4 linked regions of the Pelodiscus sinensis genome follow. The protein of the gene in region 4 purifies or fractionates together with the protein of the main gene of each other region. This does not show direct contact. Links are inferred from orthologs where the notes say so. Each region holds a gene or a part of one and is shown on either strand. Other genes may lie near its edges. The genes, in order: tubulin alpha-1A chain, RPL23, DNAJA1 and LRRK2.

Evidence for each region.
Region 1: the proteins of LRRK2 (region 4) and tubulin alpha-1A chain purify together in Homo sapiens (affinity purification with western blotting; 4 studies listed by BioGRID and IntAct, with this or other methods). This does not show direct contact. The link is inferred for Pelodiscus sinensis from reciprocal best matches to the Homo sapiens genes LRRK2 and TUBA1A.
Region 2: the proteins of LRRK2 (region 4) and RPL23 purify together in Homo sapiens (affinity purification with mass spectrometry; 3 studies listed by BioGRID and IntAct, with this or other methods). This does not show direct contact. The link is inferred for Pelodiscus sinensis from reciprocal best matches to the Homo sapiens genes LRRK2 and RPL23.
Region 3: the proteins of LRRK2 (region 4) and DNAJA1 purify together in Homo sapiens (co-immunoprecipitation; 4 studies listed by BioGRID and IntAct, with this or other methods). This does not show direct contact. The link is inferred for Pelodiscus sinensis from reciprocal best matches to the Homo sapiens genes LRRK2 and DNAJA1.

What each region holds. Positions count from the first base shown.
Region 1 is NC_134729.1:4,833,779-4,841,024, reverse strand, and holds the start of tubulin alpha-1A chain, read right to left. Parts: upstream 3,019-7,246; 5' UTR 2,864-3,018; coding exon 2,861-2,863; intron 927-2,860; coding exon 704-926; intron 585-703; coding exon 436-584; intron 1-435. UniProt on the Homo sapiens protein: Tubulin is the major constituent of microtubules, a cylinder consisting of laterally associated linear protofilaments composed of alpha- and beta-tubulin heterodimers.
Region 2 is NC_134739.1:12,361,669-12,369,477, reverse strand, and holds the start of RPL23 (large ribosomal subunit protein uL14), read right to left. Parts: upstream 3,009-7,809; 5' UTR 2,890-3,008; coding exon 2,877-2,889; intron 1,256-2,876; coding exon 1,172-1,255; intron 258-1,171; exon of another isoform or gene 125-257; intron 68-124; coding exon 1-67.
Region 3 is NC_134716.1:17,257-24,648, reverse strand, and holds the start of DNAJA1 (dnaJ homolog subfamily A member 1), read right to left. Parts: upstream 3,002-7,392; 5' UTR 2,849-3,001; intron 2,344-2,848; 5' UTR 2,335-2,343; coding exon 2,203-2,334; intron 2,121-2,202; coding exon 1,943-2,120; intron 1,452-1,942; coding exon 1,347-1,451; intron 1-1,346. Other genes in the region: APTX (aprataxin), read left to right, coding at 4,985-5,106, 6,836-6,972.
Region 4 is NC_134711.1:27,626,840-27,633,699, reverse strand, and holds the start of LRRK2 (leucine-rich repeat serine/threonine-protein kinase 2), read left to right. Parts: upstream 1-3,844; 5' UTR 3,845-4,111; coding exon 4,112-4,310; intron 4,311-4,395; coding exon 4,396-4,481; intron 4,482-6,860. UniProt on the Homo sapiens protein: Serine/threonine-protein kinase which phosphorylates a broad range of proteins involved in multiple processes such as neuronal plasticity, innate immunity, autophagy, and vesicle trafficking.

The sequences.
Region 1 (7,246 bases), on a different chromosome or scaffold from region 4:
ATTTCTTGGGGGGGGGGGGGGGGGGGGAAGAGAGAAGAGTTCTTACTTTCTTCCCATCCTAGACATTTTCCCCCTCTTAGAATCCAAATTCTGTTCTATTAATCTGGGCCCACTCCATCATTCTTAGAGGAGTTTCATCAGTGTAAATCCAGTGCAATTGGAAGCAATGTAATAATTTATCTCTTAAAACATTTCTTGTCTGTATTCACTGTCTGGTATTCTTATCCCAAGATTGCTCTGAGTAACTACTCTATTCCAAAGGAGTTTTAACTTCACCTTGGGACCACCTACAAATATGGTGGCAATAAAAACATTAACAATATGATTATCTGGAATTGGAAATGGGGGAAAATCCATCAGCAGTGAATTTACATTCTTCAATCAGCTTTCTATTCACAACCTGCCCAGATTATGCTAAAAGGAGATGGTATCTACCAGCTTGCGGATTCTGTCGAGAACCAGGTCGATTATCTCCTTGCCAATGGTGTAGTGCCCACGGGCATAGTTGTTGGCAGCATCTTCCTTGCCAGTAATGAGCTGCTCAGGGTGGAAGAGTTGGCGGTAGGTTCCAGTGCGCACTTCATCTGGGGAGAGGAAAGGCAGAGAGTCGGTCTCTCCCCACTGTCCATGCACAGTAGCTGTCTGCACATGGGCTTACAAGGGGAGTCCAGAAAGCAGTTAGATGATGGCTTTGCATACTCACCTATCACGGTTGGTTCCAAGTCCACAAAGACAGCCCTGGGCACGTGCTTGCCGGCGCCTGTCTCGCTGAAGAAGGTGTTGAAGGAGTCATCTCCTCCACCGATGGTCTTGTCACTGGGCATCTGGCCATCAGGCTGGATCCCATGTTCCAGGCAGTAGAGCTCCCAGCAGGCATTGCCGATCTGGACACCAGCCTGGCCGACGTGGATAGAGATGCACTCACGCTGTGGAGAAGAGAATGGGAGGCAGGGAAGAGATGTGAACACATTGGCCTGGTCTGCAATTGCATGTTAATAAGTAGCAATGGAGGTATCTCTAGAAGATCCCTTTGACACTCCCATGTTTGCCTTTTTTGGCTCTTCAGTGCTTATAACTGTAGCAGCAGTATCAGGGGTTAAGCTTTAGAGAGGGGCATGCTCTGAAGAGTCAGCAGCACAGTCACACAGATGCTAACTCTTTGTTTAACACCACATGGTCTAACCACCATATGCTCTCAAAATAGGGGGGCAAAGGAAGAGTACAGAGAGAAGAAAATACTTGTTAACCCAGACAGGTAGGAGGTAACTGGAAACCCTTTTGCAGCATCACACTTCTTGAAATGTGCCCACCTGCCACGCCCTTTTTTTATCTGTAGGGCCTGATTCTTCTCCCAGAGAACTGGCAAAACTGATTTGGATAGAGGATTGGGATGGGACTTCTCATGAATAAGAATCCCAGTCTACAAAACAAGGCAAGCCAGACTTCCACCCCCCACAACTCTGGTGCCTCATGGAGAAATTGGCCCCATTGTGGATGCTGAATCCTTTCCCAGCAGGTGCTCAGCAGTTGGTAAGTTCACCCTCCAAACTACTGATTTGCTTTCTGTGCCCCCAGTACCTGGCCCTCCCTCCCACATGCCAATGGCTCTTCCCCAGCCAGGAAGGCTAGCCTAGGGAATAATGAATGGAGCTACCACACCCAGCCTGGGAACAGGCTCATTTGGTGCAACTGAGAGACCATTAACTATCCTCTGCCCCATGCCTGCCGGAGTCTGTGCGGACAGCCCTGGCTTAGCACTGGCTGGTCTATTTCCAGCATGATCTCATTAGACTGGTTTGCCAATTCCCCTCCGCTGACCTCATCTGGGAACAGACCCGCCTAGGAGCGGAGACAATCAATGGATCAGCCAGAACAAAAGTCCAAGCTAACTCACATGCCAAGCAAGCCAGCATCTGCGGGAAGGGGCTGGCTGCCATTCCCCAGCCCCGACGCTCCGCCTTTAGTGCGCAGAGAGCGGGGAGTTGCGAACTCGACCATCGCCCTGGGGATGCTGCCGAGGCGCTAAAATGCAGCCCTCGTGCACCGAGCCCAGCGATACAAGGACTAGGGATATGCGGGTCGCCTACACGGCACGTTTCCCTCCCAAGCCCCATCCAGGCAGCTGCCTCCTGCGCCCCAGAACCATCAGTGTGGACCCAAGCGCCTGAGGCCCCCTCCCCCTTTGTCTGCTGGGTCAGGGCCCCCTCCCCTGCGCTAGCTAGTGGGGGGGGTTGAGTGGGGAGCAGAGGCGTGGTCAGTGCAGCCCAGCCCGATGCTGAAATGGGACCTCGGTGGGAAACCAGCCCCTGGCTCAGCTGCTCTGTGGGCAGGGGGCCGGGCAGCCCGCCCTCCTCTGGGACGCCAGGGCGTGGCCCTCCATCCCCCGCTAGCCCGGGCAGCCACGGCTGCTCTGCTGGGAAGGATTTTGCAGCCGGGACCCGGCGGTTTGGCACGTCCCCCTCCCGCAGTCCAGCTGGTGCCTCCGCCCAAAGGGGGAACGGGGGAAGGCGGAGCAGAGCCGCCGGCTGCGATCCGGCCAGCGAGGCGGGGAGATTGGGAGCTTTTGAAAAGCGCCTGCATTTGCCCTGCCCTGCAGCCAGCGGGGGGACAGCCGCGCCCCCCGGGAGCCCTGCAGCCAGCGGGGGGACAGCCGCGCCCCCCGGGAGCCCTGCAGCCAGCGGGGGGACAGCCGCGCCCCCCGGGAGCCCTGCAGCCAGCGGGGGGGACAGCCGCGCCCCCCCGGGAGCCCTGCAGCCAGCGGGGGGGACAGCCGCGCCCCCCCCCGCACTCCCTTAGCGCCCCATTTCCTCTCTGCTCTACCGCGCCCCCCGTGGCGTGCAGCCCCGCACGCGCCCCTTACCATGCTGGCTGCGGGCGGGGCGCTGGCCGCTTTCTTACCGCGCGACTCTTAGGGGATCGCTGTAAGAGAACTTAGGGTGTGCGCGCCGGCCCGCCTCCTTTATACCCTTCGGTCACCATGGCGACGGGCCTGGGCTGCCAGCCATTGGTCCGCCTCGACCGTTTCCGCCCGGCGATTGGTGCGGAGCGCTCAGGATGAGGTCATGGCCCCGCCCCCCAGCTTGCAGACAAAGAGCGGGCGGGGCGGGCGGCTTTGCAGCAGCTAGATGCTGCAGTCAGCCCCGATCCGGAGCGTGCGTGAACCCCCTCCCCCGCCTCCAGGTTCGCGCCGCATTGTGTGGGGAAAGCTGGGGCGACACCGGAAGGGAAGAGCCTTTAGTTGGGGCCCCCGATGAGCCAAGAGCGTGTGGGGATCAAGTACATGGTCATCCAGCCCCCTCCTCCCCGAGGGCTAAGTTTAGGGTCGGGTGAGGCAGGTTCGGGGCTCCTGACTGGTACCACATGGAATTGGGCTGTCAGGGATCTCCCACCCCCGAGGAGATAGTCTAGGGTCAGTCCTGCTCTCTGCCAGGTGGGGTGCTCCCATGCAAGTGACTTCCAGCCCCTGCTCCCTGTGTCGTCGTCCCCCGAAATACCCACGGGATCCCGCACTCACCTCGCCCCCCAGCAGCAGGGAAGAGCCTGGCTGGGACTGGGGGGGCTGCCACCCCACCGACTTGAGTCAGTGCTTCCTATCAGTTCCAGGGTTTGCACTTTGGTTCAAGGGTTCTTAGCAGCCTCTAGGTCTGGGGAGGTTCCTGACCTGGGCTACAGCTGGTCTGGCAGCTGTGCTTGTAGGGAGCACTTGGCATCTTGGCCATGGGAGAATTATACAGGGGAGGGTCGGGTGGGGGCATAGGGTTGCAAGTACCAGATCACCCTTCCAGTCATGCATCCCCATCTTCAGAGAACCGCCCACGGCCCACCCCATGGAGCTGGCTGTTCCCACCCCACAGGGTTGTGATGGGAAGTGTCTGTCCCTAGGCTGGTGTGTAGTGAGTGTCATGGCTGGTCCAACTTACAGCAACCGTGAGCTGAGAGTTAGAGCCCCGACCTCACCTTCAGGGCATGCAGGAGTGTGCTGCCAGAGCTTGGCCAGCACAGCTGCTGGGCTCCAAATAATGTCCATCATATACAAGGTTTGCAGTTCTGTTCAATGGCTCCCAGCCTCCTCCCCTCCCGCCCCACACACACTGTACAAATTGTTCCACTACACCCGATTGCAAAGGGGAGGCTAGCACAGGGAGGTGTCTCTCATCCCCAATTTCCCCCTTTTCCACAGGGCGAGCTCAGATCCTCTTTTCCAGGGCCGGAGGTGCCTTTCTAGCTCCATTTCTGCAGAGCTGGCAACTGAGGCGAGGGGGTGGGGAGGGGACAGGCAGCAGCTGCTGCAGGTGGAGCTGTGAGACTGGCTGCTTTGTTGCAGACTGGTGAGCAACATTTTCAATCCCCCTCACAAGAAATCACGATTTTCTACACATTTCCCATATTCTGCAGCCTGCTCTGGGTTCCTGCTCCCATGCTTCTACTAGTTTGACACATTTCTCTCTAACAGGCAGGAAAAGTAGCCCCAGCCCCCTGGCTATTTTTTTGCACTAACATCCCTGTGAATATTGGCCCCCTGTGGCATGACAGCACATACAGACTGTATCTGGAGTTGCTCCTGAATCATAAAAGGACAAAGGACCTACATTCCCCAGGGAACTGATGAGGTACAAAGAGACTCCAGGATTCCATAGGCACAGCTGAACAAAGGAACTTCTGGGGCATTCTGAAGAACAGATGGTCAAATCCTCAGCTGGTGAAAATGAACTTCAGTGGTACCTCACTGATTTACACCAGTGGAGGATGCTGCTCAAAGAAGAGGTGGATAGCTAGCATTGCAATTTGGCCATGTTCAGACCTGAGTTTTTTTCGTCAAGTTCCTGTCTACCCACAGAGACCTGTAAATTTCTAACCACATTGTAGCGAAACAAATAGAAACAACAGCCTGTGATCCTGCCCTGGACTCTGGCCTGTGCACTACATAGAGAGCCATCTAGTTATACTCCAGGACACAGCAAAATGCTACATTTACCTTTACATGTACAGCAGCTTAGAGTACAACATGCTGCTTACTGGATATATATACCTCTTCCAGGGAGAGGGAGAGGGGGAGGAGGAGAGCTCAGGAAATTCAATTTCCTGTGGAGACCTGTCAAGTTCTCAGGGTCATTTTACTCTAGTTTGTAAATGGGCTTTGCAGTGCATTAGTGACCGGAAGATCCCGAGCTGAAACTCAATCATCCATTTGAACACTCACCAAAATCAGTTACATGTTTATGGGCTGGTGCACAGGAAATGCTGCTGGCCTTTTTTTCCTCCCTGACTTCCTTCTTTTCACTCTAATCTATGGCCTTACCTACACCAGGGACCAGACTCTCAGCTGGTCCCAATTCACACCTTTCAAGAATTTGCCCTGGTTCCATCCGTGAAAATAGCAGCTTCCTCTAGGATTTTGCACTGGGACAGCTACACCTACTGTAACCTACCTTTGTGAGCCAGAGAGGTGCCCAGTGGATGTATTTAGGGAGGGAGTATTGTTCAGTGGTTAAGGCACAAAACTAAGAATCAAGAGACTTAGGATCTCCAGGGCAAGTTCATGAGCCCTACTGTACCTCAGTTTCTCTTTCTGCACAATGGTGGATAATAGAAAGCTGGTGAGGTTTAATTCCTTAATGTTTGCAAAATGCTTTAAGAGCCTGGAGTGGAAGGAGTTTGATATGGGCACAGTACTGTGGTCCCTGACCATCCTCAGGCCCAGCACAGAGGCAGAACTTGCCTAAGTGAATGCTAGCCTTGAAATGCACAAGGAAGCAGACTTGGCCTTCACAGCAGCAGCTCCTCCTCCCCTCTTTCCCCCACCCCAGCCCATCTGGTTTCACAGGAGCTTGCGCAGCACAACACTGCTTAGCCCTGCTTAAGATGAGGGCAGGGTAGAGCACAGCGACTGGATATAGAAGCCGGGGAGGGTCAGGCGGGGGTTAACAAGGGTGTTGATCCTGGCTCCATGCTGGCTGGGCAGGTTGCAGACAGCCGGCTCTTAGATCCTTTTATAGAAAGCCTTGCTGTCCACCCCGTCTCAGGCATGCCAGGCTGTGCCCTGCTGCTTTTTCCAGCTGTGCTGTGTGTCTCCTGAGGGGTGTGTGGAGCATGAAGCATCTCTTTGGGTGCATGGGGACACCTCCCACTATATTGATGGGAGAGGACACTGTTCTTCTTTCCACACATTCAGGGCCTTCCCCACAAGATCAATCCCTGTGCCAGCCTCATGCAAGGAGCTGGCATGGCTTCATTCCCATGGCAGCTTAGGGGGCGCTGTGTTGCTGCTGATAACGCCAGCCTTCAGGAGAGAGCTAGAGCAGAGATCTGGGCAATCAGGACTCCTTGGTTCCTTTCCAGGCTCTAGGAGGAAGAAAAAACTGGGACTCCTGGGTTCTGTCCTTTGCCCTGCTCTGTGACCTTGTGTGAGTCACCAAATCACCGTGTGCCTCAGTTTCCCCACCTGTAACATGTGGGCTGTGTCTAGACTGGCAAGTTTTTCTGCAAAAGCAGCTGATTTTGTGGAAAAACTTGCCAGCTCCCGTTTGGGCAAAAGTCCTTTTGCGCAAAGCTTTTGCGCAAAAGGGCCAGTGTAGACAGCTCAGATTTGTTTTGCGCAAAAAAGCGTCTAGATTGGCCACGGATGCTTTTGCGCAAAAGTGTACATGCCAATCTAGATGCTCTTTCCGCAAATGCTTTTAACGGAAAACTTTTCTGTTAAAAGCATTTGCGGAAAATCATGCCAGTCTAGACGTAGCCGAGGGTTGTACCGCTCATTCCTCTTCCAGGGGAGCTGTGAGGCAATTCACGAAAGTCTGTGAAGAGTCTTTAGATCCTGGGTGGAAGGTCTTAGGGCAGGGCAGAGGGTTGTTATTAAAGCAAGAGGCAATGGCTCTGCCAATGCAGCAGAGGGATCAATGAACTATCCCCTGGGCGCTGTGGAATAAAATCAATGGCTCCATCTCAAGGACACAGGCGCCTCAGAGGTGCTTGCTCTCTAATTAGGTTTGTAAGACAGAGCCCTGCTCACCCGCTGCTAGGCAACGAGTTGTTCAGTTGCTAGGAGACAGAACAGGAATCCCTGGTGGCATTTGGTCTTCCTTTATCACCTTGCAAGTCATATGACTGAGCCCCAGGAGAAGCTGGCCTGGGAAGGGGAGAGGGAGGAGAGAGGCTGGGGAGAGATGAGGATAGAAAAAGCCTGGAAGACAGAGAGACAGCTGGGGAAACAGGGAGGGGGGCCCCATGAGAAAGCAATTGTCCCCCC
Region 2 (7,809 bases), on a different chromosome or scaffold from region 4:
GCAGCTGGCAGCCGGTTCAGGCGGCCCTTAATCCCCTTCACGGAGATGATGTACAGGTTCTTGGCTCCTACAGGAGAAAAACATCCTGAATTAGCCAACTCACCACAGATGTCCTCAAACGGTTCACTGTCCCATCACTCATTGAAGTGAACAGCACATGCTGCTACCTCACCCAAAAGCGATGCCTTTCTTATGCCCTTCCACGACAACTCCCTGAGTCACTGAGCACAGACCCAGCAAGTGCTTTTCAGAAGGGGGAAGCTGCTACTGCTGCCTCAGAGGTAGGATGCAATTTTTTAGCACCATTGAGCAAGAAGTTGAAATTCTACAGAAGCAGGTTAATCGATACACAGACATTAAGGCCAGGATAAATCATCTTGATCAGCTAGTCTGATTCCTAGGGTAGTCCAGTAACTTGTGTCAAGCCCATAATTTCTCTTTGTCTTAAAGTAGGAGTGGGGAACCTTTTGGGTTGAGGTCACTGAGCCATAGAAAAATTAGTTGGGAGCCACACAAGCAAGGAGCAACACACATCCCTCCCCAATGTAGCCCCCAACTGAGAGTGAGAGTGAGAGGGAAAGGAGAGGAAAGAAGACATTCACCTCATTATCCTCAAGCTTAGGGGGACCAGGCTGAACAGATTTTGAACACCCCCCCCACCCCTGCGCTGATTTTGGGTGAGGACAAAAACAAGAGGTTCAGTGCATGGGAGGGAATGCTAGGGAGCTGGCTGGGGATGTTGGGTCTGGATAGGAGGTAGGGCATAGAAGTTTGAGGTGTGGGTGAAGCAGTAGGGGGTTGGGACACCTACCTGGTCCACTTCCAGGGAGGAAAGGGGCGGGGGGAGCCCCAAGCTTTGCGGATCGGATCAAGACAAACTGCAGGCTGAATGTGGCCTGCAGGTTCCCCATTACCGATTTAAAGCATCTCTCTCAGAGATAGACAGTCTTATTTAAAGACTCCAAATGATTGAGAGTCCACCTAGTTGTTTTATTATCATCACAGTTAAAACCTCTCTCTATTTCTAGTGCGAATTTGTCTAGCTTCAACTTCTAAGCCCTGATTTCTATTTGTCAGTTACCTATACAAACGCTAACCAGATACACAGACAAGGCAGAAGGGATGCTGAAGCAGAAGTGATACTGACTCCAGAAAGGAGCCACAGACTCACCTGTATTATCCGCACAGTTGATCACAGCTCCCACAGGAAGACCCAGGGAAATACGGAATTTCGCGCCGGACGAACCACCACGTCCTGTAGGTTAAAAAGAAAAGACATATTCTTTAAACATTGATTCACAAGCCAGTAAGACCATCCGGAATGGAATTTAACAGGTTTTCAAATTGAAATTTGTGATTTTTTTCCTATGCCAGGGATAATATGAATTATTTCCCTGGTTTATTTATACCATGATTTTATCTAAAGTTCTTTTTAAAAAGCGAATCACGTTTTTACTTACATGCTACCAGTTCTTTACTTTTTCTCCATTATAATATAAAGTGTGTGTTTTCTGGTTTTTCTCTTTACTTTCCTAACTGTTGATGAAATGTATGTGGAAATTACAGGGTTATTTTCCCCACTAAGTTTTACCCTTAAAACTGTTCATCACTACTAGCCTCATATTAACACCTTTACTATGAGAACACAAACCCAAACACAAAATTGCTAAGCAAATAACCAGTTCCATGTTTGTAACTTAAACCACGTTCTGATACATGGGACTCCAACAAGCCAAGTACGCTGAATATTCGACCACTTTACACTCCTCCAGCAGGAACTGAAGCTACTAAATCTATTAGGTGCTTCTGAAAATCCCAACTACAAGCACTTAAAGTTGCACCTAATTTGGGGCTATTAATTTTCACTTGGGTGTATTAAGAAAAACTCACAAAAGCTTTATTTACATACTGAAATTCCAAGTAATTATCCACCACTACCAATAATAATGGCAAAGATTTTACAGAAAGAGAAATGTTTAATGAAACTACAATCGTAGCCTCTGAGGCTGCAAATGCTTATTATGCATGCAAATAAAGCTACACACCTGTTCAAACATTTGCACCATCAGGACCCTCACAGTTGTTTTGAATTGCGGAGTGATTTAGTCAAATAAAATCCCCTTCCAGCAGGGTATTATTAAAGAGTGCAGAGACTGACCTTTCATTTGGTTATAAAAGTTTTAATTTAAACCTGCAGTAGCACAATTATCCAAGCAGTCTCAATCCCCATCTAAACCGGCCATATTTAAAAAAATGCCATTTAAAACACTCCGTTCAGACCACGGCATTTTAATCCGCCTCTCCCTGTTGCATACAGGCATCATACACATGGCTCAGCCCAAGGAAAGCGGCGCATCTCTCTGCTTTTTCCTTCTCGCTTACAGGGCTTGTTGCTCCTCTTGCATACAGAGGCACAAGGAGCAGTTTCCACCCATGAGACGATCCTTAAGAGTCCCCTCCCCCCCCCCCAAAAAAAACTGGGGTTGCACTCTGGGGCAGTTTATTTCGACCCTAATTTCTCATCCACGTGGGGCTTAGCACCCCCCCTTCTAAGCTAAGCCTCACCCTGAAAGTCCCCCCAACCCGTCTACGGACACTCCAATGCCCCCTCCCTGTCCACCAACCCCCAATACCTAAGACGCCCCCCTTCTGCACAGCCTCAAACCACCCCCTCTCCCCGGGACCCGCCAGTCCCCGTCCCCAGCGGGCCTAGCCCCCACTGTTTCCCTCCGCCAGACCCGGTCCTGAAGGGAGCCCGGGCTCCCCCTGTTCCATCCCCCCGGGTCCGGGAGCCGCGCGGCCCCCGTGACCCGAGGATGGGGACGGATACTCCCCGCCCCCCTCCCCGAGCGGGAACCGCTCTCGCTAGGCCTCACCTCGCTTGGACATCTTGGGGCCGAGGAAAAAAAAAAAGAGAAAGGGAGCCGCACGGGATGCCGGGATATTAGTCCGCGCAGGGCGACAGCCTGCTACGTCACACCAAGGCGCGCGGAGGCGGCGACCTGCCTCAGCACGTGACGGGTTACGCGCTATTCCCTCATCACGTGATAAAGAACGGCTGGCTGGTCTCTGCAGCCGTTGGTCGTCCCAGTGCACCACACTGCCACCTACGGGGGCAAATGGGGAACTGCAGCTGCTTTCTGTAAAGCGTCTGAGCGCAATCGCTTAGCAAAGCTCATGGGACATTTGCAAGGGCAGACCCCTTCCAGCCTGTGTTCCCTGTCATTTGTGCTCTTGGGCGGCCTCCCAGGAGAGATGCAGGTGCCGCCTAGCTGGTTAGCAGAGTGCCCACAGAAGGCAGCATGTGTTTCTTTTGGTGGTGCACATATGCACCTGCCTTGGTGCACATAACAAAATTTATTCCTCGCATGGATGGAAAAACATTAGAATAGAGAACATTGCTCATAGCATTGAATTTTGGCAAGGGCAGCTTGCTCTGGTATAAATTGCTTTGTGATGGGCAGGACCTCTGTTTTATTCCCATCCAAGCACCACTTAATCCAATGCCAAATAGTTCAGAGGTTGGCACTAACCCTATTGGTCTAACTCTGCAAATCAGCTTTATATCCACTGACCGTGTGTGTGGATTACAGATCAACTGTGGATACACATTTCGTATCTGTACCAGGCTCTGCCTACTCATCCCACGCTGGGCTACTTGTTTCAGCAATCTGTGTTGCTGGCCTGGTCAAGTGCAGACAGTCACATCTTACGACTGTGGTTCTCCTCTTGCAGGATGTGAGCTGGAAATTAACCGGAGCAGACTTAAATTAAAACCACTGCGGGAAAATAGAGTATGTGGCCAAAAATGGCAAATAATCACAGGGAAAATATAACACCTGTGGGAGCATCAGGACGGACAACTAGATACCATCAAGCTTACATCTATTGCCTGCAGAGCAACATGTCAACAGCTCAGACAAACAGATTTTTCCACAATGCAGAGTTCCATAGTGCAGGATCTGGATGAAATCTGACCCTAAATATCACATTACATTTATGATGATGGATTGTAAAGAAGCTTTTTTGGGAGGGGGGGTTCAGAATTCACTTTGCAATATTGACAGTTATCAAATAGATTTGTTTTCTCCTCCCTGCCCTGCCTCCTCCAGTCACATTTTCCCATTCAGGATCCCATTGAGTGAGCTAACAATGTGGAATGTGTGACCTCTCACACAGATCTAAGACAGCCAGTGTGGTCATACCAATGGGGACAGGTCCACACCGGTGCTGGAAATTACTGGAATGTCCAGTATTGTGGGAGTGCATGAGTGGCCACACTAGCAGGCAGCAATGTCATAAGCACAGAGATGTGACTTTGCTCTGGGTTCAAGTAATAATTCATTTCACGTCTATAGCACTTTTCATGCGCTGCATGAAGAAAAACTTCCTTTTGTTTGTTTTAAATCTATTGCCTATTAATTTTGATGGGTGTCCCCTAGTTCTTATGCTATGGGAATAAGTAAATAACTTTTCCTAATTCACTTTCTCCATACCTCCATATTCTCTAACCCAATGCAGGGCAGGCCCAAGCATAACACTGCAAAATGTCCCTCATGTAGGCCAATTCTTTCAGTCTTCCTTCACAGGTCATGCTTTCTGGACCTTCCATCATTTTTGTTGCTCTTCTCTAGACCCTCCCCAATTTCTCCACGTCTGTTCCGAAATGTGGTGCCCAGAACTGGACACAACACTCCACGCGATACTGGAAGGGTTTTAAGTGTCTTTATTAATAACGTGTGCAGGTGTTGAAGTAGTTGCTTTGCAAAGCCTCTGAATTCCTGGTTGTAACAGTCCCTTGTCCCCAGAGCTTTAAACTGTAAACCAGAGCAGTTTTGGGGGATGCGGGCTCTGGGAACAGGCAGGCTGGAGGTAGAGAGTGCCTGGATTATAGTGTGTCACTTCTGGGGAGGAGAACTGAGACAGGGAGTCTTTACCCAAGGAGCTGGAGAAGCCAAAGGGAGAGCAGTGTACGGCCCAGCAGCCTGATGAGTGTCCACCAGGGGAGCATGATAAAATCTGTGTATATGACCATATGTCATGGGTGGGGCACTTTTAGGGATGAAAGAGCCACTTGGAGCAGGGGGGGAGCATTGCCATGAGAGGATCATCGGGGGATCTGATTCCTGCCTCCCCTTGGCTGGCAGTCACATTGTGAAATCCTAAATGGAGCAAGGCCCATATTGCCCTGCAGATGTATCCAGCACCGGGTAGATTTGAAACTGGGACCTCTGAAGCTTAGTGTAGCAGTCACTACAGAGATAAAGCCAGCTGGCTTTCAGCTTAGGCCAGCGTTTCTTAAACTTTTTAAGACCGAGGAACATCAAACAATAATTTTTTTATGAGGAACAAAAAAAAAAAAAAAAAAAAGTCACCTGCCCCTTTAAGGGTGGCCATTTTGAACTCTGTTGTTCTCCGTGGCACACCTCCGACTGCCTCGCTGCACACCGGTGTGCCGCAGAACACAGTTTAAGAAACACTGACTTAGGCTGTAGCATTCCCTTGTTCTTATCTCTCACTCTAAGTGCCACTGCATGGTACAGTGAACCACACTAGGTCTACATTACAGAGTTTTGTTGGAAAAACAGCTATTTTTCTGACAAAACCTGAGAAACGTCCACACTGCAATCATGTTCTTTTGAAAGTAAATTGAAAGAACAGAGGAGTTTTTCTGGAGTTGGTAAACCTCTATGAAGAAGAAACCTTTTTAGCGAAAGAGCTCTTTCAAAAAAAGGTGTGTGTGGACGGGGAAGAGGGAGTTCTTTCGAAAGAAGAGGAAAGAGGAAAAAGCACAGGTGCCCTGGTGGCCATTCCGCCCATAGTAATCACAGCTTACATGCGAGACAGCGTCTACTCAGTGTGGACTCTATCTGTCGTAAAAACAGATCACTTTTTCGATGCACTTTTGCAGTTTGGATGCTCTCTTTCAGAAGTTTTTTCGGAAGATCTCTTCCAGAAAAGCTTCTTCCGAAAGAAACCTGCAGTCTAGACATAGCTAGTGTGTGGGTTACACAGACTCTGTCTTTGCCGCTGAAAAGGATGGGTTGGTTTTCACGGTGTGATTAAAAAACATGAGACTCCTAAGCAGAGAAAAGCTACTTGTTGCAATTACCATGAGGTAGCTAGGCAACGTCAGCAATTATCCTCTCTCGGGCAGTGGGGGAGGGGGTTCTCGCCTCATTTGATTAGTACAACGTTAGGGCAACGAGAAAGCTCCCCCATGCCCGCCTGTCTCTGGCAAGTCTTTCAATGGTTTCCTAGCTGTGCCCCAGGTTTTTCAGCTCTGCCTAGTTTACCTTGGAGTAAACCCAAACCCCTCTTGCCTCCTCTTTGGTTTTGTTTACAGCAAGCCACCAAATAGGCAGGTGCATTATCCCACAGTAGAAACATCCTTATTTGTCCGTAAGGACAGGCCCAGAAGAGAGACAAGCGGTTAAGCAGTGTCCCATGTGCACGGAGAGGGGCTGTTATTCAACACATTTCACAAGTTTAACCAGAAGGGGCTCTGCCAATTAGCCAGGATTCACAACAGTCATTCGTTTTTTTTTAAATTTTGAGTTTTTGGCTGCGACTTGCTAGATGCAGCAGATTTAGCCCATACCAATGGTTAGGCCAGCGGTCACCAACCAGTCGATCGGGATCTAGGGGTCGATCTGGGAGCCTCTCACAGGTGATCCTGATTGGTCTGGCCAAGAGGCTACCAAGTGCTGGCACGTCAGCTGCCCCTCCCCACAGGGCTGTGCTTTGCCTGGGAGCTGCCCCTCCCCTTGAAGAGCCTTCTGCTTTCTCTGCAGGGCAGGAGAGGGAGAGGAGGGCGCTGATGTCAAGGTGCCCCCCCCACACTTTGTAGCCCATCTCCACAGAGTAGAAAGGAGGCCCAACAGGACTTGGGATGGAGGTTGCTGACTGCTTTAGGGAGTGGGCCAGGGCAGAGGTGAGCCTGGCTTAGCCCCACTGCACCATCAACCAGGAGCCACCTGAAGTAAGCTGTGCGCCGCTGGAGCCCACATCCCACACTCCTACCCCAGTTACCTCCCTCCTGCACCCCAAGCCCCTACCCTAGCCCTGAGCATCCCTGCATCCAAACACTGTCCCAGAGCCTGTACCTAGACCCCCCCCCCGAACCTCAGTTGGCTGCCCCAGGCTTACCTCTGAGCCCCTCTCACATTCCAGATCCCTTAATCCAAGACCAGCCCTCTGCCTCAGACCAGGAGCGGCCCTAGACTGGCTGCCAGCAACTGGCGCCCTAGGGGAACCATGCAATCAGTGCCCTAGGCAAACCATGCAATCGGCGCCTCCACCTCCAAACCCCTCAACGATATTGCGCCACCATTTGGCGCCCCATTTAACTTGGCGCCCTAAGTGACCGCCTAGTTCGCCTATATGGACGGGCCGCCCCTGCCTCAGACTAGTGAAAGTGAGGGAGGATGGAGTGAGCAGGGGGCGGGGCTCACAGAAGGGGCACGAAGGAGGCGGGGCAAAGGTATATGGGTGTGACAGAGATCTTGGATTGCACTTAAATTCAAAAAAAGTGATCTCGTGCTTAAAAAGGTTGGAGACCACTGGATTAGGCCCAGAATATCACAATTCCTGGTTGGAAATTTTTTCCATGCACCCACCGCTGCTACACACACGCAACACATGCTCACACACGCACACACAAAAAGTCAAGGAGGGTCACACACGAGCTTCTAAAGAATCCTTGTGTGGTTGTCATAAGGGACTACCTTGTATGTGTACATTTCCCCCTTAAAATTATATTTCAGTCCTATTGATTTTGTGACTCTCAAAGCATGTTAGCCAAAACGT
Region 3 (7,392 bases), on a different chromosome or scaffold from region 4:
GTGCCAGTGGGGACAGAATTCTGTAGCTGGGGATGGGAATGGGGACAGAGTTTTGTAGCTGGGGACAGGGGAGTAGGGTCTGGGGAGCACAGACAGGAGACAGGGTGCCAGTGGCAGCAGAGTCCCCTCCATCTGCCTCCTCCCAGGATTCCCCCCCCCCCCCCCCCCCCCCCGCAGAGGGAAGCCAGCACATTCCTCCTCCAGGCCTGACTCCCGCACCCCCTGCGGCACAGGGAAACCCCACGCGTGCCTGCCCTGGGGCCAAACCCCCTCTCCCACGGTGCGGCCAAACCCTGTGGGCGCCTTCCCCGGGGCCAAGCCGCCTCTCTTGCAGCGGGGCCAAACCCCCACGGGTGCCTCCCCAGGCCAAACCCCGGGGCCAATCCGCACAGGGAAATCCCTACGCTCAAGTCACTCCCTTTTCTGGAATCTCTCCTGTCTCCCATGTTTTTCCAAAGGTGATAGCTAGAGGGTCAGATACCGCCTCTATCAGCTCTTTGAGTATTCTACGATACATTTCATCAGGCCCTGATGTATCTCTAAAATGAGCAGTCATGGGCTGAAGTGGGTTTTGTTCACGAAAGCGCATGATAGACTAGCATATATATCTATACAGTGATTCCTCATTTAACACTATAGATATGTTTCAAAAAATGATGGTGTTAAGTGAAAATGTGTTATGTGGGGTCAATTTTCCCATTGAAAATAATGGAAAAGGTGGGGGTTGCGGTTCAAGCAGTGGTGTCTGTTGGGTCCGGGATATAAGGTTGGGGAGAAAGGGGACTGGGTTACAGCAGGGAGGGGGAGGTGTTTGGCTCTGGGGAAGAGGAGAGGAGAAGGGGACTGGGTTGGAAGTATGCCCCTGTGCTGGGTCTGCTGGGACGTGCACTGCAGTGCGGGGGGGAGGGGGGTGCCGGGGAATGGCACAGTAAGCTGCGAACCCTCTGCCACTTTGCAAGGAGGCGGGGGAAGCCCTGCGCAGCCACCAGTGATAGGCCAGCTGGGGAAACCCCTAACTGCCAGCCTGCAAGCAGCGCGGGGGGGGAGGGGGGGGGGCGCAAGGCGTCCAGCGAGGGGTAGTCAGCGGGAATGGCGCAGCGAGCAGTGAACCCTCCTCCGCTTTGCAGGAAGATGGGGAAGCCCTGCGCAGCCACTGGCAACAGGCCGGCTGGGGAAATAGTGTTATTCTGGGAACGGTCATGTACTTCAAAAATGTTCCCAAAATTGTGCTATCGCAAAAATGTGTTAAGCGGACACACATTAAGTGAGGAATTACTATAGTAAGGACTACTTTTTATTAAAGTTAGATTGTAACATGCCTATCCCACAGAGACTGATTAACATACCTTCACATTTATCACAGATCACATTCTTTTGCAGAGCCAGTTTTCTTGTTGCACCATTGTACAAGTCTTCCAAAGATACTGACAACTGATGAACAACATTTTTACCTGTAAAGAGAATATGGTCTTATTTTAAAATAGTAATTAACTTAGAATTACAATATGTCAATCCTTTTCAGTGACTAATTAAGCAAAGCTTAGTACTAAGGTCTTTGCTTAAAGATACTGCAAACTTTTTTCCAATATTTGAGAGCCCGGCTCATTACCATCTGCAAAGAGGGCACAAAAATCAAACCTTAACCCTATGCCTGGTTATAGAATATTAACTAAAACAGCTTTTTATTTAAAAACTTAATCTCCTCTATGCTAGCATTTAAAACATTGGTTTTAGAACAGTGCCTTTTTAGATATTGTTTTATCATTGTAATGATCATTTTAGACACTGCTACATAGCATGAAAAGCCTTATTTGTAAAAAGGTGCAGCTTAAACACATAAGTATCTATAGCCTTATACTAGGTACTACAGGATGTGTGACTAACAAGAAAATACTTCAGCAGCAAAGAGTCCCTTAGGCAGTACCAGAGAAAGTGAAATTACCTCTGCGCTCTCTCTGCATTCTTCCACCTCCTCCAAAGAACATATCAAAAATATCCATGGGTGACCCAAAACTGCTGCCAGTACCACCCTCTTTAATAGCCTGCTCACCACCTTTGTCATACAAGTCTCTCTTCTTTGGATCAGAAAGCACTTCGTATGCTTGCGAGATCTGCTTGAACTGCAAGAAACACCAGAGTAAGTGCTGGGCGTGGGGACGAGGTAGCCCCGGGCCAGTGCCCGGCGAGCCCGGCCCCACTTGCCTTCTCGCCCTCGTTGGGGTTCTTGTCGGGGTGGTACTTGAGCGCCAGCTTGCGATAGGCCTTCTTCAGCTCCTCCTGCGTGGCGCCCGGCTTCACCCCCAGCACGTCGTAGTACGTCGTCTCCTTCACCATGGCGCCGGCCTGCGGGAGCCCGCCGTCAGCCAACACCGGCCGCCCCTCGGGCCCGGGCTGGGGGAACGGGGGCAGCGGCCGGCGGGGGGGGGGGGGCGAGGCAGCGAGACCGGGGGGGAGGGGGGCGGGAGAGGGGCAGAGGCAGCGAGACGGGGGGGGGGGAGGGGCAGCGGCCGGCGCGGGGGGGGGGGCGGGAGAGGGGCAGCGAGACTGGGGGGGGGGCAGGGGAGCAGCGACCGGCGCGGGGGGAGGGGGGCGGGAGAGGGGCAGAGGCAGCGAGACGGGGGGGAGGGGGCAGCGACCGGCGCGGGGGGAGGGGGCACCGAGACCGGGGGGGAGCGGAGGGGGGCAGCGGCAGCGCGGGGGGGGGGCGGGAGAGGGGCAGAGGCAGCGAGACCGGGGGAGAGGGGGGGTAGCGGCCGGCGGGGGGCAGCGAGACCGGGGGGGGAGGGGCAGCGGCCGGCGCGGGGGGGGGGGGGGAGAAAAGGCGGCAGCGGGGGCCGGCCCCACTCACCGGGCAGGGCTTGGCGAGCTCCGGGCTTCTCAGCTGCTTCGGCCGCTCGAGACCCTTCTGGAAAGTTCTCTATGAGCCGGTCGCTCCTTCCGGGGACTTTTGTAGCCGCAGAAGCTCCACCCCGGAAGTCCCGCCCCCTCGGTTTCCCGGCCGAATCAAGGATGGGGACGGGCCAGGCGGAGGAGAGCCAATCTTTGGCTTGGCTCCCGGGACTACAACCCCCAGCATGCCGTGCGAGCCCCAAGCTGTGCGCGTGCAGTGGAGCGCTGGGTGTAGGGGCGGGACACAGCGGGACGCGCCCCAGCAGCCGGTGTCGGGCGGGGTTGTGAGTGGCACGCGGCGGAGCGCGCGCCAGGGCCTGTTTCCTGTGAACACTCCCAGCCCGCAGGCAGCGCGCGCGGCAAGGCGAGGGCGTATCACGTGACCCCCTCCCCCCCGCCCGCTGCTGCTGGCTCTGCCCGCCCTCCAGCGAGGGACGGGGCTTCCGAAAGCGCCTGCGCACAACTTCTGGGATGCGCCGTGGCCCGGATCTGATTGGTGGGGCGGACGCAGGCGTGTGACGCTGGCAGCGAGACGGTGACTGGCCCTGCCCGCGGGGCGCCGAGGGGGGGGCAGTGCCGGGGGTGAGGGGGGCAGGCGAGGGAGGGGGGGCAGTGCCGGGGGTGAGGGGGGCAGGCGAGGGAGGGAGGGGGGGCAGTGCCGGGGGTGAGGGGGGCAGGTGAGGGAGGGAGGGGGGGCAGTGCCGGGGGTGAGGGGGGCAGGCGAGGGAGGGAGGGAGGGGGGCAGGCGAGGGGGGGCAGTGCCGGGGGTGAGGGGGGCAGGCGAGGGAGGGAGGGAGGGAGGGGGGCAGGCGAGGGGGGGCAGTGCCGGGGGTGAGGGGGGCAGGCGAGGGAGGGAGGGAGGGGAGCAGGCGAGGGGGGGCAGTGCCGGGGGTGAGGGGGGCAGGCGAGGGAGGGAGGGAGGGGGGGCAGTGCCGGGGGTGAGGGGGGCAGGCGAGGGAGGGAGGGGGGCAGGTGAGGGGGGCAGGCGAGGGAGGGAGGGGGGCAGGTGAGGGGGGGCAGTGCCGGGGGTGAGGGGGGCAGGCGAGGGAGGGAGGGGGGCAGGTGAGGGGGGCAGGCGAGGGAGGGAGGGGGGCAGGTGAGGGGGGGCAGTGCCGGGGGTGAGGGGGGCAGGCGAGGGAGGGAGGGGGGCAGGTGAGGGGGGCAGGCGAGGGAGGGGGGGCAGGTGAAGGAGAGGGGGGGCAGTGCCGCGGGTGAGGGGGGCAGTTGAGGGAGGGGGGGCAGGTGAGGGAGAGGGGGGCAGTGCCAGAGCGAGGGGTGCAGGTGAGGGAGAGAAGGGGGTGGGGATGAGGGGGCCAGGCGAGGGAGAGGAGGGGCGGGGGTGAGAGGAGCAGGTGAGGGCGGGGCAGTGCCGGGGGTGAGGGGGGCAGGCGAGGGAGAGTAGGGGGCGGGCAGTGCCGGGGGTGAGGGGAGCAGGCGAGGGAGGGGGCGGGGGTGAGGGGGGCAGGTGAGGGAGAGGAGGGGGCGGGCAGGCAGTGTCGGGGCGAGGGGTGAAGAAACTTGCATTAATTGTATCCTTTGGTATATATGGTTGTGACTATTTTCTTCCACTATTTGATCTGAGGAAGTGGGTCTGGCCCACAAAAGCTCATCACCTATTGAACCATCTTGTTAGTCTTTCAAGTGCTACATAGTCCTGCATTTTGCTTCAGCTACCCCAGACTAACACGGCTACATTTCTATTACCATTCTAATTAAGGCCTTCATTGTATGGGTCAACTCTGTCACTTTCTTTGGCATAGTTATAAGTTATATAGTCTAGGTTAAACTGAAAAGGAACACGTTTCAGTCAGAACACATTGGAAGTGCCCAGGCAAAAGTTTGCACCAATTTCACTGAATCACTAAGTCTGCTTTAAAAAATGTTTCTTACATTGGTAAGCTATAACAGTTTAAGTTATGGTGTGAATTTAAACTGGCATAGTTATCCTTTTATAACTTCTCCTGTTGACACTAGGGATGTAAACTCACGGTTAATCAGTTAAACCTTAGGTTTTACCAGTTAACTCATTAACTTGGATCCACTAGTAGTCCTAAGCACAGGGGAACTGACTTCTGCTTTTACTGCGCCTTCCCAAATGGAGCGGCTGGCTCTTCCTCCCTCCTTCTCTCTGTACAGCGGTGCCAGCTGTGAGAAGGCGGCTGCTCCCTGGTACTGGTTCATCAGTATGCATCATGCAGCAAGGGTGATGCTTACCAGGTAACTGGTTAACTGGCCACCTGTCACATCCCTAGATTGCACAGACTCATTCTAGCATAAGGATGGGTTTTGTCAGTTTAGCTTAATGTCATAAATTAAGCCAGTAAAGGTGTAAATGTCCCCCTGGAAGGTTTTACTGGTAAAACTAAAAGTATAACTTGGAAGCAGCCATGCTGCTGCTGTCTCGTGTTGTGTGGCAGAGAACAAAATTAACATTACGGATGTTAGTGGGTAGTCATCTACATGAATAACCGATAGGCCTGGGCTTATCGGTTAATCTTAACAACTACATACTTCCCCCTCCCCTTGCTATCTCTGTATCAGAGGCAGCAAAAAGTGGGAGAGGTGGGAAATGGTGCCTATTGGGGCATATCAGCTGCTGCTGAGCTCCCTGCTCCTGCCCGTGCTGCTGCCTCCCACAGAGCAAGCAGGAGCTGGTATGTGGGGAGATCCAGCTTTTAAGACAGCTCTGTGCGCATGCCTGCTCTGCAGTGGCAGAGGCAGCAGTGTGGGGGTAGGGGAGCAGGCTGGAGCCGGTATGTATGGGAATCCAGATCTCCACACATCTTGGCTCCTGAGCAGATGGGAGCCGATGCATGCAGAGAACCAGCTTTGACGCCAGCTCCCTTCGCATATTGGTTCCTGTCAAGCGGCTCCCCTCTCTCTCTTCCCCCCCATCCCTATAACAGAGGCAGCAGGAGGGAGGGAACAGGAGCTGGCACTTGCAATGAGTGAGCTGAAAAGCCAGCTCCCCACGAGCACCACCTCCCTCTTCCTCCCAAACTTGAAAAAAATTCTGCTGAAAATTTCAGCGGATACACATTTACACAAATAAATGCATTTTAATATCCCTAAGTAACATACACAATAGCCCAGTGCACCATATAGCTGTGTTTTTACTGCTGAAATAAATGGTGTTCTATAGGAATCAGTACTAGGACCAATCCCATTGCATACTTTTGTCATTGTTCTGCCAATAAATGTAAAATCACTGCTAGTAACATATGAAGATGACACCAATATTGGCAAAGTAGTAAATGATGCTAAGGCTAGGTTTTTCATACAGAAACATCTGGACCATTGGATAAGCTGTGTCCATTAAAACAAAACATTTAATGCAGCCAAATGTGACGGTATACATCTAGGAACAAAAAATATAGGCTATCCCTGTAGAATGGTGTACTATATCCTAGAAGGCAATTTTTCTGAAAAGGAGGTAGGGGTTATGGTGGACAAGTGATATATAGTGTAGTAAAATCCTACTGAATAAAACTTGCTATTGGAACTTACAGAAGTGGCCACAGTGGCAAATCTAAAAATGAATGTGATGTGTCTATAAAAACAATATATATAGGCAGCCTAATGTTGTATCAGCTGATTGGAGAAATATGGGTATCGCTCAACATGATAAACAAATATGTACTGAATAATGTAAACTTGGTGTGTATAATAGTAAATATTTTGCATTTCAGCATCTTTCTGTGGGAGATGCTATCAAACCACTACATAGATAATTAAATAAGGCCTTGAAATATCTCTTATTAGTACCATTTTGTAGAGAAGGATAATAAGTCACAGCAACGTTAAGCAAATTAGCCAACGTCATGCAGCCAATTAGTGGACTGGCAATAGAAACAAGAACTTCTGATGCCCAATCCTGTAGTCAGCCACGGGATCTTGATCCCTATCTGATTGTAATCCTGTCTATGTCCTCTTATTTATTTCACAGTGCAATCATGCGGGTGTGCTGGCTAGTGAGGAAAGATAAATGCTGTCAGCGAATCAAATTGCCACACTTAGAAACAACAGTAATAGGGCGTGGCCCAGAGACCGAAATAACAGACAAGAAATGTTCAAGGCAACAGGGTAAGTAATAGCTTCAGTGTACACACAACTGCTAGTTTGAAAACAGCTAAGTAGTTAAAAAACTAGGGCTGACAATTAATGGCAATTGACTTGTGACTAACTCAAAAATCATGATAAAATGCAGTTTTAATCCCACTGCTAAACAATAGAACGCCAATAGAAATTTATTAAATAGTTTTGACGTTTTTCTGTGTTTTCAAATATATTGACTTCAGTCACAGCAAAAATAGTGTAAAATGCTCACTTTATATTACTTTGGTTTACAAATATTTGCACTATAAAAATAGTATTTTTCAATGCACATTGATGTACCGCAGTTCTTGTAATCTCTATAGCATGAAAGGGCAATTTACAAATGGAGATTTTTGTTGTTGTTGTTACATAACAGTACTCAAAAACAAAACAGCGAAAGACTGCAAG
Region 4 (6,860 bases):
ACTGACCCACAGAAAAATCAGTTGGGGTCCACACACAAGCGAGAAGCATAAAAACCCACCAAAATCATCACTGATGTGGCCCCAACTAAGGAGGAGAAAGACACTCCCCACATTCCCCTTGCACACCATAGCTAGGGGGGCCTCGGCTAGTAGAGTTTGTGTGCTCCGGTCCCACAGGGGGACAGTAGGGGCTGGAGTGCCAGCACAGGCTCCCCAATGCTGAGGAGGGGCCTTGAGCTTCAAAGGTCAGATCCAGACAAGGCAGGGCCACATCCAGCCCCCGGGCCTTAGGCTCCCCACCCTTGAGCTAAGGTATAAATTGACCTGTGTCTGGTCCTTTAGAATCAGGAGAACCTGTTCAGAGCTGGTGAGATCTGTTTCCATAACTGCTCACATGTGTAAGGTATCATAGTGGTTGTGACGCAGATAATGCTGGCATGTCTAAAGGGATTGTTTGTGTAACTTTTCTTGCTGTCCAGATTGACAGCTAAAGTGTAGTTATAGAGGAAGGTGTAAATAGCCTGATTCTAAGCAATTTGCCCTGATTTGACCCTTTCAGCAGTGCACCCAGACCACCTGTTACATTACATTATGAAGATATGAAGATCCAAATGACCAATTATAATGAATCATTAACTTTCAACTCAAAAATTCAGTATGCAATTTAGTAATTATATCATTGATTGAGAGGACACTTTTTTCCCCCAAAAAGAGTTAAAATTTATTTATGGCAGCCACACACATGAAAATTAACACCCCATTACAAATATCATTACACCGTAATCACTCTTCAAAAAGGAAGGCATAGCATCCACAACAGAATTCAAATTAGGATTAACCAGTTATGTAAACAGGATTAGTAAAAATGTGCAATTTATGCTAGTTAAGATAAGCATTTGAGGAGATATAAAAACCCATAGTTGGTATTAGAGAGTCTTCCCAAAGGTGTAATTACTGACTATATAATTTACAGCATATTTTAAACTTTCCTCTGAAGTTTCTGGTGCCAACAACTGTCTGAAGGTCAAGACTGCAATGCATCTATCACCATTCCTTGAAAAGAGTGTTTGAACTATTAATTCTGCAGTAAGAAAACTGTATTAGATTTGCTGATATGGATCTATTTCTTATCAATCAACTTTGTCATTAGGAAAGTTAGCAGAAGTGAGAAACCATTTAACTAATTTCTAAATCTGAATCACTGTTTCATCAGACTGACACGTTGTCTTTTTAGGGCTTTGCCTTTCAAGGGAAACAAGCTAAAACTTCATGTCACAAATGCAGTCATGGTTTTGTGGTTGATAATTATTAAACCAAGATAAGAGTTTCTTGGTATAACACTTAAAAATATGGCTTGATTCAGATAGCACTGCCCTATGTTTTGAGTATCAAGTTGATACTAATAGTTCAAGGATAGTTTAGTCAACAAGCATTTGCAGTAACCAACGATTTGTAGGTGTTTCAGAATGCTTGTGTATAAAAAATGAAACATTTTAAAAAGAAGCATTAAGTTGGTGTTTTCTTCATGTGTTTTTATATTAAGCACTGTGCATGCTTTTCAGTAACCAGGGCATCAGGGTATAGGTAAGCATGAGAGCTTCAATAACTCCACAATCCTAGTTGCTCCTTCAAAAACGGTAAGGCAATCATCATGTTTAACAGAGAAAAACTTAATTACTCTTAAGCTGTATCTACACTGGCATGATCTTGTGCAAAAGCAGCAGCTCTTGCACAAAAACATGCTACTGTATATACTGGCCACGTGTTCTTGCGCAAGTAAACTGACGTTTTAATGTATGAAATCAGGGCTTCTTGTGCCAGAACTCTGACGCTCCCGCTCAGGAATAAGCCCTTTTGCGCAACTGTTCTTGTGCAAGAGGCCAGTGTAGACAGGCAACATGAATTTCTTGTGCAAGAAAGCCCTATGGTTAAAATGGCCATCAGAGCTTTCTTGTGCAAGAGAGCGTCTACCCTGGCATGGATGCTCTTGCGCAAAAGCACATCTCTTGTGCAAAAGCACATGCCAGCGTAGATGCTCTCTTCCGGAAGAGTTTTTGCAGAAGAACTCTTCCGCAAAAGAGTTCTTCCGCAAGCTGCCAGTGTAGACGTAGCCTAAAAGTATTCAATTTCTCTTCCTTTAGTCAGAAGAATTTTGTATTGGTTACAATTTAGTTACTAAAAATGTGATTTGTAGTATCAGGCTTGAAGCACTTAAAAAGGTGAAAAACAAAACTGGTGACAGTACAGGTTTGTTTTTGCAAAAGCAGCAAAGAGAAAGTGGCTGCTTTTGCACAAAATCTTGCCAGTCTAGATGCAGCCTAAAAGATTAAGAGTAAAAATTAGCAATACTTTCATTAACATACTGTTGCAAGCCCCATTTGTAGATGATTATTTTTCATGTGGCACCTTTTACAACTATTCTGGAGATGTGACAGACACATTGATGAATTTAAAGACAGATACACTAACAAGTTGGTTAGTACACTGAAACTCCTGTATTTTCTAGTTGTGTATTTATTACAAAAGAACAATCACAAGAACTTGAAGTTTATAAATTTTAAATCACATTATCACTGTTTCCCTTCCTGAATCCACTAATGGTGTGGCTAAATTAATTTCAAATAATTGTATATAATAGAAGCATGTGTGGCATGAAAATGAGAGACAGCTATCCCACTTCAAAATAATTTCAAACGTGGTGAGATCAGGGGTGGCCCATGAGCCTAGTCAGACTAGGCAGTTGCCTAGAGCGCCGCTGGCCCAGGCGCCCGATGATGATGTCATGGGGCGCCCTGTGATTACATCACAGACATTGACCGCTATGCAGGCAGGGGCACCAATTGCGCCTTCTGCCTGGGGCGCTAGCTGCTACAGCTGGCCTCGGGCCACTCCTGGGTGAGATGAGGGACTCTAGATCTTATTTTATTTTATACTTCAGAAATTTGCAGTAAATTCAATGCTTCTTAAGCCTCTGTCATATAAATAATAGATGATAGCTAGAGTTCATTAGCAGAGTTGCTCCTTTACTCAAAAGGAGGCGCTTTTTTTTGAAAGTCCCCTCATTCTGGAGATGGACTTAGCTAATTGCTTAATAGGCTTGCCAAATGGTTTCAACAAAAATATTGGACACACTTGACGTGACATCACAAGCTACATTACATCTTATTTAGAAACGACCATATTTATATTTTCTCAATTTGTTTCCCAAACAGGACTGTTCAGTTCAAAACCAGACACCTGGCAACCCTATGATTTGGAGCCTCTTGCCTGCAAAGGACAGCTGACTGTACTGGTACTGAGACAAGTACTGAGAAGTTCAAAGGCCTAGCCTAGGAGGTGCATGTTCTAACTTCATAGTAGCAGCAGCCAAGAGGAAGGATGGGGTGTCCGCAACAGCTATGCTCTGACCAGTAATCACAGCACCCAACCCAGGCTCTGAGGCAGCCTAACATGCCTGGGACCCTCCCATCTGGGGGACAGCTGGAAAATCAACTGTAGCCCTTCCTGAGACACATGGCGAGCCTGGAGCACAGCACCTTCTTGCTCAGCCAGGCCCCTTCTGGGGCCCACCCCAGCCACCCGCAGTGACTCCCCTGTTCGTACCCCATGAGACCCTTTTGCCCCATTCGTAAGGGCCCCAAAAGGGGCCACCACAGCTAGCTAGCTATGCCTTGGCCAGCCACCCTCGCGACCAACAAGAACGCGTCAGAAGCGCTACGTGGCTCGCCGCCCCCTTATGAGACCGAGAGAGGCAGGAAGGGGCGGGCCTCTCCAGAGCTCCCATGCGATTGGAGGGCGGGGCTGTCAGTGGCTGTAACTGATTGGTTGATGCTACCCTAACGCCCCCTCCCCACCGAATCCTGCTGGGATTGCAACGCGAGACTGTGTAGCGGGAGCGCCCTCTACGGGCAACCGGGCGGCGCTGCGGCCCCTTCCCCTCGAGCTGGGCCGGGCCTGCGGACACTCGCCGCAGATGTTGTCAGCGCTGAGGTGAAGGGGCGGGGATGCGGCTTAAAAATAGTCCGATGACTCCGGCGGCGGGGCTGAGCCGCGGCCCGCGGGATCGACATGGCGGCGGCAGCCGGGGAGCGCTCCCAGCACACTCGCTGAGATGAGGCGGGGCTCGGACATGGCCAGTGGAAGCCGCTGCCGGGAGGAGCAGCAGGAGCCGGAGGAGGAGGAGGAGGAGAGGGAGGAAGCCGCCCTGGGGAAACTGGTCGTTCGCCTGACGAACGTGCAGGAGGGGACGCAGCTGCAGAGCGTGCTGCAGACGCTGGAGGACTTGCTGGCCTTGGCCCACCGGCCCCGCGGTGAGGTTCCTGCCCGGGCGGGCGGGCCCCGCTACGGCTCCCCGGCTCGGCCCCGCGAGTAACCGGCTCTTTCCTCTCTCCTCAGCCCCCAAGCTCTTCGCTGGCCGGAACCTCCACGTGCCCTTGTTGCTGGTGTTGGACTCCCACTTGCGCGTGGCCGCGGTGCAGCAGGTAAACCCCTCACCCCTAGCTGGCAGACCCAGAGCCTGACACCGCCCCTTGGCGAGCCAGCCCCGAGCTCCCCGCAACTTGGCGGGCAGTTTGGATTCAGAGCCCAACTTGGCGGCTGGCGCTGGTTTTTAATGAGCCACATGGAAACTTCCTCGAGGTTTGGGACTGTCCAGCTCGGTCAAGTCTCCGCTCCTGGCCAGCTAGTAACAACAGACACGGGCGTCTTGTGCCAGACAGGCAGGTGTGAAGACCGCTAGACAGTGGTGCACAGGAATAGTCTCCTTGAAAATGCTGTTGCTGACCATATTGTCACCGCGGAGATGACATAGGGTGACAGTATTACTGTGAGATGAGAAATACAAAACTATAGCTCCAGGGCCCAAAAGTCAGCAGTTCTGTATAGTTACCATCAGGTGTTCCAGTAAATAACCATGTTAAAGAGAGATGTGCATTAAAAATAAATAAAATAGTAAATGGGGTATTATTAATCTGTGGAATTCAGTTATTTGTGTTGTGATTTCTTCTGTATCAAAGTACATGTTGGAAAACAGATTATAATAGTTACTACTGTTACATTATACGTTAAAAGTTTTTCTGTTAAAAGTATTTCTACAAAAGCCTGTCTAGTAAGGATGCTTTTGCGCAAAAAGTGCTTGCCAGTCTAGACGCACTGCTAATGTTCCTAATATAGTATACCACAGTCCTGGACCACGGCTCTAGAATATTAATGATTTTTAAAAAAAATGCTGTATGTAGTATTTACATTGTAAAGGATGGCTAAAGTTTTTTGTCAGCTGTTTGCTAAAAAGAATAATTTTGTCTCTTTTCCTAAGCTCTAAATCAAAATAAAGCAAAGTATGTTCATAAATTACATACGAACTATATTGCACAGATCACATATGATGTCATGCACTACAAACATTGTGATAATCCAATATTGTTTCTAAATGGAGCAGGATGTGTTAAGGAAGTAACATCTGTCTTTTATACCCACTGTCATGCTCAGGACAACTTCAGAAACAAAGCAGGGAAAGTTCTGTAGTTTATTCTGTTTGGTTACCTCTGTTATTTAAGGCTGACTCATTTTATATTAAATATTGCAGGTGCTTTCCAATGTCATTTTCACATTTGTTTTCAGACAGAGATCCTTCCTAGCAGTCAATCATGTAAAATAAAATGCATGTTATCCCCAAAAGATGTTTAAAGACATCTAGGAGGCTATGCCCTGCTCACTACACTCACCAACCCTCCTCTCTCCAGAGAGCCTGATGACATAATTCTGTCACATGCAGCAGAAAAAACTTTTGTGTATATATATATATGGAGAAATATGATCTCTGTAAGACTGGTTTGTATTTTCTAAAAATAAATGTATGATTTACATTTTTTTCACCTTTTAAAAGTTCAGTTTGTTCGGCTGCAAAATGTAATTCCCCCCATATCTATTTTAAATAATGGGAATGGTCTACATTAACAGATACACAAATTCAGAGTAAGCAGTAAATTGTATTCTTGATTTTTACCTGTCATGTATAGTTGTTACATTAATAATAACAATGAAAGTAATTTTTTGCACTATTATTATATCTTTTATTAGAGGATAACCAGGTAATGTGAGGAATCTGAAACTTTAATTCATAATTCACTATTCAATTATCACATAGGTAAAAAATTTGTATAGCCATTGCTTTTAAATTGGGTTGAACCTATCAGTTGTTTAGCAATAGCAGAATGGCACAGAAGTCAAGAATAGTAAGTAAAAGTACTTCAAACTGCAACTGTATGGGAAATTTTTAAAACCTGATAAAGAAGAAAGTGGTAACTATACCTGAACTGCAATTTGGCTAGGATGCAAGGGTAATATCTTTTAGTGTACTCTTAAAAATGGTTTTAAAATGAAGTTTCAGCCTCTTATCTGAATTTCTTAGCCTTCGAGAGTTTACTTTAGACTTTTTATAGCTCTTTAATATTGTTTTAACCAAGGACTTAGCCAGATGCAACTCAAAAACTTAATGTCACGAAGTGCTGCAACCATCCTTTCCTCTATTCCCTAATGCTATAACAAATTTAAAAATATTCTACACTAACTATACTCTATCTTCCCTGCTTCATCCATTGTGATTCACTTGTGGGAGTCTTGAATCTGAGTTTGTGGCAAGGACTGTAGATGCTGTGTGTAGATCCCCTGTTAGTGTAGGCATGCTGTAAAGGTGTAACCAAAACAACTGTTTTTCATTGCACAGGTTAATAGAGCAGTAGCTCTTTCTAATTTGTAGCACAAAAGTGAAATTGACCAATGTTTTGAAATAAGTTGAAGTAAGGGCGGTGTCTGGATTGATTAATATATTTCCTTCTGGCTGAGCTTGCCACACAATGACT